3 linked regions of the Coturnix japonica genome follow. The main gene of each other region encodes a partner of the protein of the gene in region 2 in a complex. Links are inferred from orthologs where the notes say so. Each region holds a gene or a part of one and is shown on either strand. Other genes may lie near its edges. The genes, in order: RAN, XPO1 and PKIA.

Region 1 (2,669 bases), on a different chromosome or scaffold from region 2:
GTATTACTTCACTAAGTTATATTATCTTCATTAAGGCCAAGCTAATGAGAGGCTGCGGAGCTGCAAACCTTTTAGTTTTAACAAACTGCAGCTGAGGAAGTTGCACATTCACATCAGCACAGGCTGCAGTTAAATACAAAAAGGAAACTCCAATACTGCAATGTATGTAATCCAGCTCCTGAAACAGTTTGGAGGTTTACTTTGCAGGATGGGTTTACTGCCTGTTTCTGAGGGCTTTGTATTAATGTTCAGGAATCTCATAGTAGCTATTTTCTTAAAGATGAGTAAATCAGCAGCAGGTGCTGAAGCCAGCAGCAGAAACCAAGGCACACACGAGTTAGTAAACTCCACAACTCTAATACAAAGCTGAAGCGTGGTGATGCAGCAGGAAGATCCAGTGGGATGTTATGTCAGCTTCTACTTTCCCAAGGCTGGTGTGATGTTCCTCATTTCCCCTTAGTGAGTCTCAGTGAGCTGAAGTGCTCAGAATCTCAGTAACTCAAACCCACAGAACTTGAACTTTACACCAATTACAGAATATTGTTCTCAAACATTTAATAGTCAGTTTTTGCTGATACGCATCTGAATGAAGTGTTAAAGAGATACTCAGGTAGGAGTTACGTATACAAACATGCGAGTTAGAAGGAATGAAATGCTCCACTTTATTAAGAAACCAAAAATACAAAACTGAAGAGTTCCAAGGCTTCACATACTCAAACACTACTGAAAAATGGTATTCTGTTCATTAATAGTACCAGGATTGACCAAGATTATTCTCTGTAAGTGTTGACATCTTTCATCTTTTGTGCTGTTGTAATAAGCTAGTTTCAATTTAAGAAGTTACAGTCAAGTCTAGGAGTCTAGGAGTTATATGGGGTTTTAGTTAATATGCTGTTCTTTAGCCAAGAGCACTTTAAGCTCATCTACAAGTTTCCTAGTTAGTGAGTTTTAGGATGCTGAGTTTAATCAACTATAGCTCTACTGAATGATGCTCCATGCAAAGATAGTTTGTAGTCATTTAACAGACCTAAATATCATTTATTCTTGGCTACTTCAGAAAACTGCTCTGTGAAGGCATGTTGTAGTGCAGTTAAAAGTTGAGAGTATTGAAAGGTAGCAGATGGAAGCTGAACTACACACTTAACTCTCAAGATGCTCCACCAACCACATAAACATCCCACTTGGTATGGGTTGATTTATGCTTATCGGGCAATCAAGCTCCACTTACCAGTCAAGTGTTCACTGCTTTAGTTTTACCTGGCAGTTAGTTCAGCTTCCCTTGGGCACTTTAGTTACATGCTTCAGGAAATCAATGGAAGGTTAACTGTTAGCTCTGATTGAGTAAGAGGAGCATAACAAAAGGAAGAAGATACTAAGGATGCAGAGACAGACAAGTACGAGCCTCAGTTAAGAGGCTTTTCAAGACTTTTTCTAACAACGCATGAAAATTCACTTGCTTAGAGATATTTGAAATACAACTTTATTATCTAAACAAAAAAAAAAAAAAAAGAATGGGAATGACAGAAACAAGATTTACCACATAACACTTTGATGTGACTGCAGCAGTCTTATATTTGAAACTCAAAAGGGAAATAATTGCAGTCCAAAAAACAGCTAAATATGCAGGTCCAAAATCATGAAGTTTTGTTGGGGTTTTTGTTTTGAACTGCCACATTCACTCCGAAGCCCATTCATCTCTTTCAGCATCCCAAAGATTAAGCACATGTTCTGCTCAGCTAGATAATAAAGTGGCAAACACGCTGCACCACTGACATCACAGGACAGTTGCCTATAAAACTAGACTTCTGACGCTGGGCTCCAGCTTCATCCCTCACAGGTCATCATCTTCATCTGGCAGTGCAGTGGTTTGAGCAATCTGGAATAGAGAAGTAACGTTTGAGAATTGTTCTTGGTTACTTGCCCCAGGAATCCAGGTACTTATCTGTCAGTCATTTGACTTCAGCACTCTTCCTCACTTACCTGTAAGTCTTGCTCATACTGTGCTGCCAGTGCTGGGTCCATAACAACTTCAGGTGGTGCAAGAGCAGGCATGGCAACAAATTCCAAGTTAGGATCTCCGATTAGCTTCCTAGCAAGCCAGAGGAACGGCTTCTCAAAGTTGTAGTTACTCTTGGCTGAAATGTCATAATACTAGGAAAAAAAAAATAGAATATTCAATAAGAGTCTGCCACCGATACCTACAATATAATAACTTGCACACAATCAGCTCAGGTGTGCTTTAGTATTCTTTTTAACTGCATGACTTCTGTCAATGCCCTCAGAAGCACCTGAGATATGAGACATTAGAAATGCAGAGTTTCAGGCCAATAGGCAGAAATTGATACTCTTAAACATAAGGTGCTTAAAGGTGATTTGCTCAAAGGTGATTTCAGGATGCAATAGTGCCTCTTTTTCCTGTGACTTGGTCTAATTTCATCTTATTCCCAACACTGAAGGACTGAATAGCACTCAAATGTAGTTAACAGACTTAATGTATCTCTAATCCTGTGAACTCACGCCATCATACCTGAAGATTCTTCTTCCTGTGGAAGACAATGGATTTTGCCTTGACTTTTCTGTCCTTAATATCCACTTTGTTGCCACACAACACTATAGGGATGTTTTCACATACCCGTACCAGGTCTCTATGCCAGTTGGGTACATTCTTG
Region 2 (3,751 bases):
TAATTTGTAACGCTTTTGGGGAGCATTGGGAAAGCAAAGGAATTGTAGAGCGTATTCATTAAGCATATTATGTTCTGTGAGTAGCACTTCATTTTAAAGGTTATAGTACTTCAAGTGTAAGAACACAGCTTAGCAACTTACACCCATACCAAAGTTTATCACCCATATCTCGTTTATACACAGGAGAGTATATTCAGAACCGTTAAGGACATGATAAAACTTCCCAAAACACCACAGCACCCAAATCTCTATTACAGCTCGGCATTTAATCTCTATTACAGCTCAGAATTTACAGAGATGGCAAAGAAGCGGATGCTGCACTGGACGCACCACAAGGAGCCGGACAGGGCCGTGCTGGAGGTGGGGCAGCGCTCAGTCCTCCCCCACATCCTCCCCTTCCACTGAGGGGACACAGCCTCATCTGCGAGATAGAGGCACTTCGCCACCCACCTCCCTGAGGCGAGGGCGGCCGTGAGGTAAAGCCCGCCATCGCAACACAGTCCGCCGCCGCCGCCCCGTTCTCTCGGCGCTGTGTTTTTCCACAGCCATCGGCAACACAACGGCCCAGCGGCAACACAACGGCCCATCGGACCGAACGGACCGAACGCCACCCTCCACGGCAGGGCAGCGCACAGGCCGCGCTCTCGGCGCCGAGCTGCGAACCAATAGAAAGGCAGTTTGTTCCTCCGCCCGCCGTTTGAGAACTTGAAGGCGGGCCATCCTCTGACTGACAGCTCGGCTCGGCCAATCAGCGCGCAGCAGCCCGCCCCTCGCGCGCTGTCGGGGAGGGGGCGGATCCCGTCTGTCCAATCCTCGCTCGTCGCCGCTCGCTCCCCGCACGCCTCCGAGGGGCTCAGCGGATTGACGTGCCGCCCGCCCAATGAGCGCGCAGGTCGCTCGCTAGGCGCCATCGCTCGGGACCAATGGGAGCGCTCGCTGGGCGGAGGCCTGAGGTTTCCAAACGCTCCGCGGCGCCATGGGCTGAAAACTAAACCGAGATGGAATCTCCCAGTCTGAACCGGTTTGAGCCGGTTCCGAGCCTGTGGCATTAGGAGGGGGAGAGGCGCCGCGCTCAGTCGCCGTTGCTCTCGCTGCCGCCGCCGCGCGTCCCGCTGACGGGGGAGCTCGTGGGGGGAGCCGCCGGCGCAGCTGAGGGACGAAGTTTAGCGCTGAGCGGGGGGGAGGGGGGGATGGGCACGGGGCCGAACTGAGGGCCCGCCAGGCCGAAGGAAGGGCGGCAGGCGCGGGAGGAGCAGCCGCGAGGGCCCAGGCCTGGAGCCAGCCGAGCGGGACGCAGCCGAGTCGTCACGCAGCCGCGGCCGCACAGCAGGTAGAGTTACCCCGAGCTGCGCCGGGAGGCGGCGGCGCCGCATCGAGCTCCGTGTCTCTCCCCTCCCCCGAGGCGCCTCGCGACCACGCGCCGGGCCCGAAGGGCGCATTGCGGCCGGTTGGGGCCGCCGGGCCGGGGCCGAGCCGAGCCCTGCCGTGCTGTGCCCTGCCGTGCTGTGCCGTGCTGTGCCGGGCCAGGCCGGGACGAGCGGGAGCAGGAACGGCGCCGGCGGGGGCCGGGTGTGTGGAGCCTCCTCTTACCTCGGTTTTAATTTTTTTTTAGGGGAGGGTGGCTTTTTATTTTCCTCTCCATTGTTATATTTTTTGCCGTGAGGTTAGGAACCCGAATCCCCCACCCCTTACTTTCTGAAGCAAAAGGTCACAGAAGCATTAAGGTGAGCGGGCGGAGCGGGAAAAGCGGTGGGGCCGGGGCCGGTGGGGCGTCCCGAGGAGCCCGGCAGGCAGGGAACGGGCGCGGGGAGCGGCGGGGCCCTCAGTGTGTGAATTATTAGGAGTGGAAGTTTCCAGAAATATTTTGGTGTGTCTGTGCAGCAGTATTGAAACGTCCGCCCGCGTCACGTGGGGGCCCCGTATAGAACGCGGGCAGGGAGGGAGGGGCCGCTCCGCAAGGCCGGGCCTCTGTCCCTGCCGGGGCCGCCGTGTCCCGGGAAGGCGCTGGGCCGTCGGCGTGCGCCGTTCACGCATAGATGAAGGGGCGAACTCCAGCCACGCTGTGTTGGATGCCGTGCGCACGGGGTGGCTCTCGGCGAGGGGCGGTGGGTAGATTGCCCGCCTCGAGTGATCGTCCCGGGGAGCCTCGTGTAGTCGCGTAGAAGCCGTGCTGCAGAGAATGCTGCTTGCTGTGAAATGATTGTTTTGTTTCTCCACAGGATATACTGAGTTGAGTCTATATCAAGAAGAGAACTGTTGTGTAGAGCTGAAGGTCCTGTGTCGCTGAGAGTTGGGATAGCTGTGTAAAGTTTTTGACAAATGCAGTTCGTTTGACCTTCGGTAGATGTCATATTCTTACTACATTGTAGCTGAGATGTTTGTTTTTTTTCCCTCTAGTTTCTATTACCTCACTTATTGTTAATGGTGAAGAACTCTTTAGTGTTGACATGAGGATAGTGGTCTAAGAGCTGCTCACGTCCAGGTATTTTGGGATGAGTGTGCAGAAGAGCAGTGAATGGGAGGTGTGATGTGTGTGGTGTGTGCCCGGTGTTGGTAGTTGGAATTAGAGCCGGTTGCCGTTGATGGTGACCACAAAGCCGTTTCTGAGTCAGTTTGCTGGTAGGCAGGTCAGTGTGAAGATAATGCTGGGAGTGGCAAAGGACCCTGTTCAAAACATTTCCTTTTTGCCTTCATTTGGTTAATAGCTTCTGTTCATCACGTGGCTGTTCCTTTTGGTTCCTAGTGTTACCAGCCTAACTTCTGTCTGAATGAAACTTCTTAAGATCAACCTGATGTTAAGAAGCAGGTATTCTTCATTGTGCTGCAGGTGCGCGGATGATATTCCACCTATATCCATACTTGGTTCAGAAAATCTTCAGCTTATATACGATACTTGTGTTACATATGTAATGATTTTCCCAGCAAATGCATCCGTATGCAATACTATTTCCCAAAATCATTGGCGTTGTGTTCCACCTCCTTGCACATCCACCCTCCTTTTGTGGTGTTAGGGGTCCTGGGGGGGTATTTCTGGAACCGTGGTGGTAATCTCAGTATGTCCTTTAGTTGAACTCTGGTCTTTTTTTAACCTTATTAGGGATGGAAAGTTCCTTTGTGGGATACTTCGCTGGTTGCTGTACCAAGGACTAGCTGTAACCGGTTCTTATCTCAGTATTGGCCTTGTGGAGTGGTCTTGCTATGTAGGCAGGAACCTTCTGCAAACAATTCATCTCTGTTACCTAAAAACTGTCATAATGATTCATGGCATTAGGATAGTGTAAAAACTACTGAAAAAGGCCCAGGTGCACATTGTGTGCTTCTGTCCAAGGAACCATCAATGTAAAATGTTCTTAGAGTTCAGAAGCTGCTTCACTGGCTCATGCCACAGCCATGAGGGCAGATGTTGAGGATGAGGAAGCACGTGTGTCCGGCAGCACTATTAACGCCCTCAGTTGCATTGCCTGGTAGTGGGCTGGATTTCTTCGAGTGCTGCTGCTTGTTGCCTTTCTTCCAGGTGAAATTTTTAAGTACCCTTATAAGTTAGTGAAAGGAAATGAGCTTTTGCTGCTGTTCTGCTTGCTTCCATACTTAACAGTTCTGAAAGTTTTTGGAGTTGGGTGGAGATGTGTTGGCCAATTAATTTTGGTTTCTACTTGATGTTTATTTCCTCATGTTTTTCTGGGTAGGTATTGTATAAAGGTCAATAGGATGATGATGTTAGCATTTAAAAATGGTTACAGTAGTGCAGTAG
Region 3 (3,651 bases), on a different chromosome or scaffold from region 2:
CAGTCAGTCCTCCATTCCTGCTCTATACTACTTTTACTTCTCTACTATCTTCATTTTTGTAGATAGTCACAACTCTTATAAGGAAGCCTCCATCTCATTCCTGCACTGAAGTACATTCTTTGGTAGGTATGTTCTGGTAGATATGTTTTGATATGGTAGATATGTTCCAAATATGTTTTGGTAGAGGAGAATATTAGAAAGTCGTTAACTTATTATGGACAAAGAACCACTGTAACTGTAGTTTTGTAAGGTTTGGAAAGACAGGACAGGATAACACTGTAATACTCACAGGAATGACAATGCAATGTATTTTCCAATATTTTTGGTTTTGAGGTTTTTGTCCAGCGCCAAGGTATACTACTAATAAAAGTATATTTTCATTGCATCTAATTCAAACTGCGTGCCCAAAGAAGTATGCTACCATTTCTGTATATCTACCACCTGAGGTAATTTTATAAGCAATTCTATGTACCCCTGAATTATGTATTAGCATTTAGGAGAATGGTTATTTAAACCATTTTCATCGCTACAGTGTTAACTGCATGTGCAAAATGCACACTGACGTATATTACAAGTACAAAGTCACATTCTTTTTATAGTTCACAAAAGAACATAGTTCTGGCTTAGAAGCACTCCAACAGCTAACTGAAAAGCAGGAGTCGTATATTCTCTAAATAGGCAGATCAGACAAAATCAGTGTAAATTTGAGCCTGAAGAAACAAAGCAGGAAGGAAGGCTGGCACAATGTATTTCAAATACCAGTCCATCATTTTAGACATATCCCCACGTTAGAATAAATAGGCCCCTACACACACGCTCATGTATTAAAACCTTTTCTTTTTTGACAGGAGTGCATGCATTTAAAAGCTACTATAGGCCCAAAGGTGGAAATGGTAGAAGCAAGGACTTAGGATTAATTGAGTTTGTGAAGGTCAATGAACAACCACTACAATTTCATACCACCAGATATGATTGTCCAGTGATGAAATTGTCTCTCTGAGTTCTTGCCTACCTCTGAGAAAGATATTTTCACAAAAGAGGAGAGCTGCTTATCAACAGTTTGCTTTTTGCTGCATCTGTTTTCTTCTGCTATTAAAATAAGCATATATCTCCTTTCCTGAAACCTGAAAAGGCCTCTAAGATCCATTCACTAGTTCCCAACCAAGTGACAAGAAAATAAATATAAGCCATGTCAATGTTTTTATTTAATGTAAGGCACTTCACTGTACGCTGTCCCTCCTTTCACTCAGTTGAAGGTGCACAACCAGCTAAAACTTTGGATAACGTTAGCAGTGGAGTTAGGTTTAGGACTGCATTAGTGCTAATCACCTTAAAAGAAGGAGAAAGCACCATCAGAAAGGGGAAGAGATGTCTCATCTGGAAGCAAAGATTCAAACAATGCATCACTATTTCTCTGTCCTCTTGTACCTAAAAACAAAACTAACCTCTACAAACTTTTAAGCAGGCATATGGTCTCTCCTTCCAGCTTCAGATTAAAGAGATTCCTTTTAAAGGATACTATTAATAAGCTGGGCCTTAAAAAATACTTCCTCATTTTCTTTTTACTTCATCTTCTATAAAATTTATCTTCAACTACCCAGCATTCACTGCAGAAAGTTCTTTCTTATTTCAGTAACAATTATTTGCCTTTTATGAAATCTGTGTTTTTATTGCAGGCAACATCTGCTTATCCCAGTTTCAAGAAAAAAGAATGCTTCAAAGGGACATTTCTTCTCATGAAGTTTTAATTAACATATTAGAAGACCAAAACACACTCACCTGCTTTATTTATATCCAGCTCTGATAGCTTTAAGGCTAGTTCACTAGAGTTCCCACCTGGAGAGGACACAAGTATGTCGTGTAGTGCATTTCTTCTACCTGTTCTTCCTGAAGCAATGAAGTCTGCATATGTAGATTCCACATCAGTCATTGCTAACAAATATCCACATAGCAGTACCTGGGTGAGAGAAAACACCAATACTTAGAAGACCAATAGAACAGATGATGTTATAGAAGCAGAGCAGAAGAACTCTTACTATGGGCTCTTACTGAGCAGAGGACTGGATGTGTAGCAAAAGGAGATACCTCAACCTTTAAATCTGGAGAAATTAGAGCAGAAACATAAAGAAATGCCAAAAACAAAATCAAAAACAAAAAACAACAACAAAAAAGTGTGAGGTGTGGATTTTATGCGACTTGTATTCAATGGCATTTTATACAACTTCATTTATCATAGTTCATAAAGTGCTACTTTCTAAAAGCAATGACCTCAGCAACATAATTTCTTTATAGAGCTGTCTCTGCTTTTAATATTAGCTGGGAAGTAGGAGGAAGGTAGGGGGTGGAACAAAGTTCTTTTCTGCACAAAAAGCAGAGCACAAGGATTAAGAAAGTACAAACTGATAACAGTATGTGCTCATGCACAGGCACTGATAGGTTTTGTGCATTTGCTTTTCCTCTAGTATGGTTAATTTTGGCTTTGTATATAGACCCCTTCAAATTCTTTTTGGTGCTGTAGCTACACCAAAGTGAATGCGTTACCAAAAAGTCAATGAAGTGAGTGGAGATAAGCTAATAGAGTACAAGAGCTGAACTATAAAGCACAGCTTAAAATGCTAAGTTCTGCAAGCTAGATATAGGTCAGAATTCTTTTCCAATGGAAGTTGTTTTTCATGTCATTATGGAATATGTGATGATATGCCTTAATGTAAAGTTTGCCAATAGGGGAAACTTGAATTTCAACCTCACTAAGAGAAATATTTGCATCTTTGCTGGACTGTCTGCCACAGCTTTAACCTGATGGGTTAAAACTTTCTTTTGCTGATGCCACTTTTAATGTAGCTCCATTTGTACTAAGGCTTCATGCAAAACGCCAGATGAACAGGCTTTACATGTAACTTCTTTACATTTTATGCCTGGATATAGGAGGATGATCATGGAAGCTTTCAGGTGGAACAGTACTCTGAAGAAAAGCAGCACTGGGGAACCACTACACAGCAGCATCACCCCCAAAGCTATATGCTTTCTTCAGTTCTAAGCTGCACTTCTTGGGCTTTACATACTGCAAAGAGAACGTGGCCAGAAGAGGTAGGTTTAGCTGTGTGCAAATGCTTTTAAGCAGTTCCTACTATACACAGTTTCTGGATGCTGAGGAAGACACTACTAAGAGCAGCAAATGATTCAAGAGATAAAACTCTTTAAGTAAAAAGGAAAAAAAAACAACAAAACACCTTCATTCCATATAACCTCTTTATTTAAATAGCTACGTAAGAAAACAGCCAACTCATTCCTACACTTAGATCTGAATTATCTTCACAAATTCTGGCCATTCATCTTCACCCCAGTCCTCACCTCCACAACTTCATCAGCTTTATGAGGGGCTATAAGTAAGTTGCCTGAGAAGCCAAAAGAGGGTTCTAAACCATATTTTATCCAGACTAAATATAACTGTATCAAGTATCACTGCAAGGCTGACGTATTTGAAAAAGTTCAGGGCTATCAAGCTTTGGTGTCTCATGTCAAATGCTGGATGGCTGACATAGTAATTTTACTCCTATGAACAACCAGTATGAAACAGGAAACTGCTTTATAAAAAAATAAATTAAAAACCCCCACACGTTAACAACAAACACCCAAAGAATGGAAGGGGTC

Evidence for each region.
Region 1: the proteins of XPO1 (region 2) and RAN are in contact, whole or in part, in a crystal structure (PDB 7B51), measured with the Homo sapiens proteins. The link is inferred for Coturnix japonica from reciprocal best matches to the Homo sapiens genes XPO1 and RAN. Residues at the interface, in NP_003391.1 of Homo sapiens: Leu35, Tyr36, His37, Gln43, Arg44, Gln47, Leu50, Thr51, Lys54, Glu55, Asn74, Tyr77, Tyr78, Gln81, Lys124, Val125, Lys129, Met132, Leu173, Glu176, Glu177, Phe181, Gln185, Lys266, Thr269, Glu270, Asp313, Gln316, Asn317, Gln320; in NP_006316.1 of Homo sapiens: Lys12, Lys37, Lys38, Tyr39, Val40, Ala41, Leu43, Gly44, Val45, Val47, Trp64, Glu70, Lys71, Gly74, Leu75, Arg76, Asp77, Gly78, Tyr79, Ile81, Gln82, Val96, Pro102, Asn103, Arg106, Arg110, Val111, Glu113, Val124, Asp125.
Region 3: the proteins of XPO1 (region 2) and PKIA are in contact, whole or in part, in an NMR structure (PDB 2L1L), measured with the Homo sapiens proteins. The link is inferred for Coturnix japonica from reciprocal best matches to the Homo sapiens genes XPO1 and PKIA. Residues at the interface, in NP_003391.1 of Homo sapiens: Val518, Lys522, Leu525, Cys528, Glu529, Lys534, Lys537, Ala538, Ala541, Ile544, Phe554, His558, Lys560, Phe561, Thr564, Lys568, Phe572, Glu575, Thr576, Val580; in NP_006814.1 of Homo sapiens: Asn36, Leu38, Ala39, Lys41, Leu42, Ala43, Gly44, Leu45, Asp46, Ile47, Asn48, Glu51.

The regions. Positions count from the first base shown.
Region 1 is NC_029530.1:2,655,208-2,657,876, forward strand, and holds the end of RAN (GTP-binding nuclear protein Ran), read right to left. Parts: coding exon 2,528-2,669; intron 2,152-2,527; coding exon 1,981-2,151; intron 1,877-1,980; coding exon 1,832-1,876; 3' UTR 639-1,831; downstream 1-638. UniProt on the Homo sapiens protein: GTPase involved in nucleocytoplasmic transport, participating both to the import and the export from the nucleus of proteins and RNAs. Switches between a cytoplasmic GDP- and a nuclear GTP-bound state by nucleotide exchange and GTP hydrolysis.
Region 2 is NC_029518.1:5,186,689-5,190,439, forward strand, and holds the start of XPO1 (exportin-1), read left to right. Parts: upstream 1-1,049; 5' UTR 1,050-1,330; intron 1,331-1,612; exon of another isoform or gene 1,613-1,724; intron 1,725-2,458; exon of another isoform or gene 2,459-2,482; intron 2,483-3,751. Other genes in the region: uncharacterized protein LOC116653124, read right to left, coding at 451-1,049. UniProt on the Homo sapiens protein: Mediates the nuclear export of cellular proteins (cargos) bearing a leucine-rich nuclear export signal (NES) and of RNAs.
Region 3 is NC_029517.1:109,054,106-109,057,756, reverse strand, and holds part of PKIA (cAMP-dependent protein kinase inhibitor alpha), read right to left. Parts: intron 1,958-3,651; 5' UTR 1,931-1,957; coding exon 1,780-1,930; intron 1-1,779. UniProt on the Homo sapiens protein: Extremely potent competitive inhibitor of cAMP-dependent protein kinase activity, this protein interacts with the catalytic subunit of the enzyme after the cAMP-induced dissociation of its regulatory chains.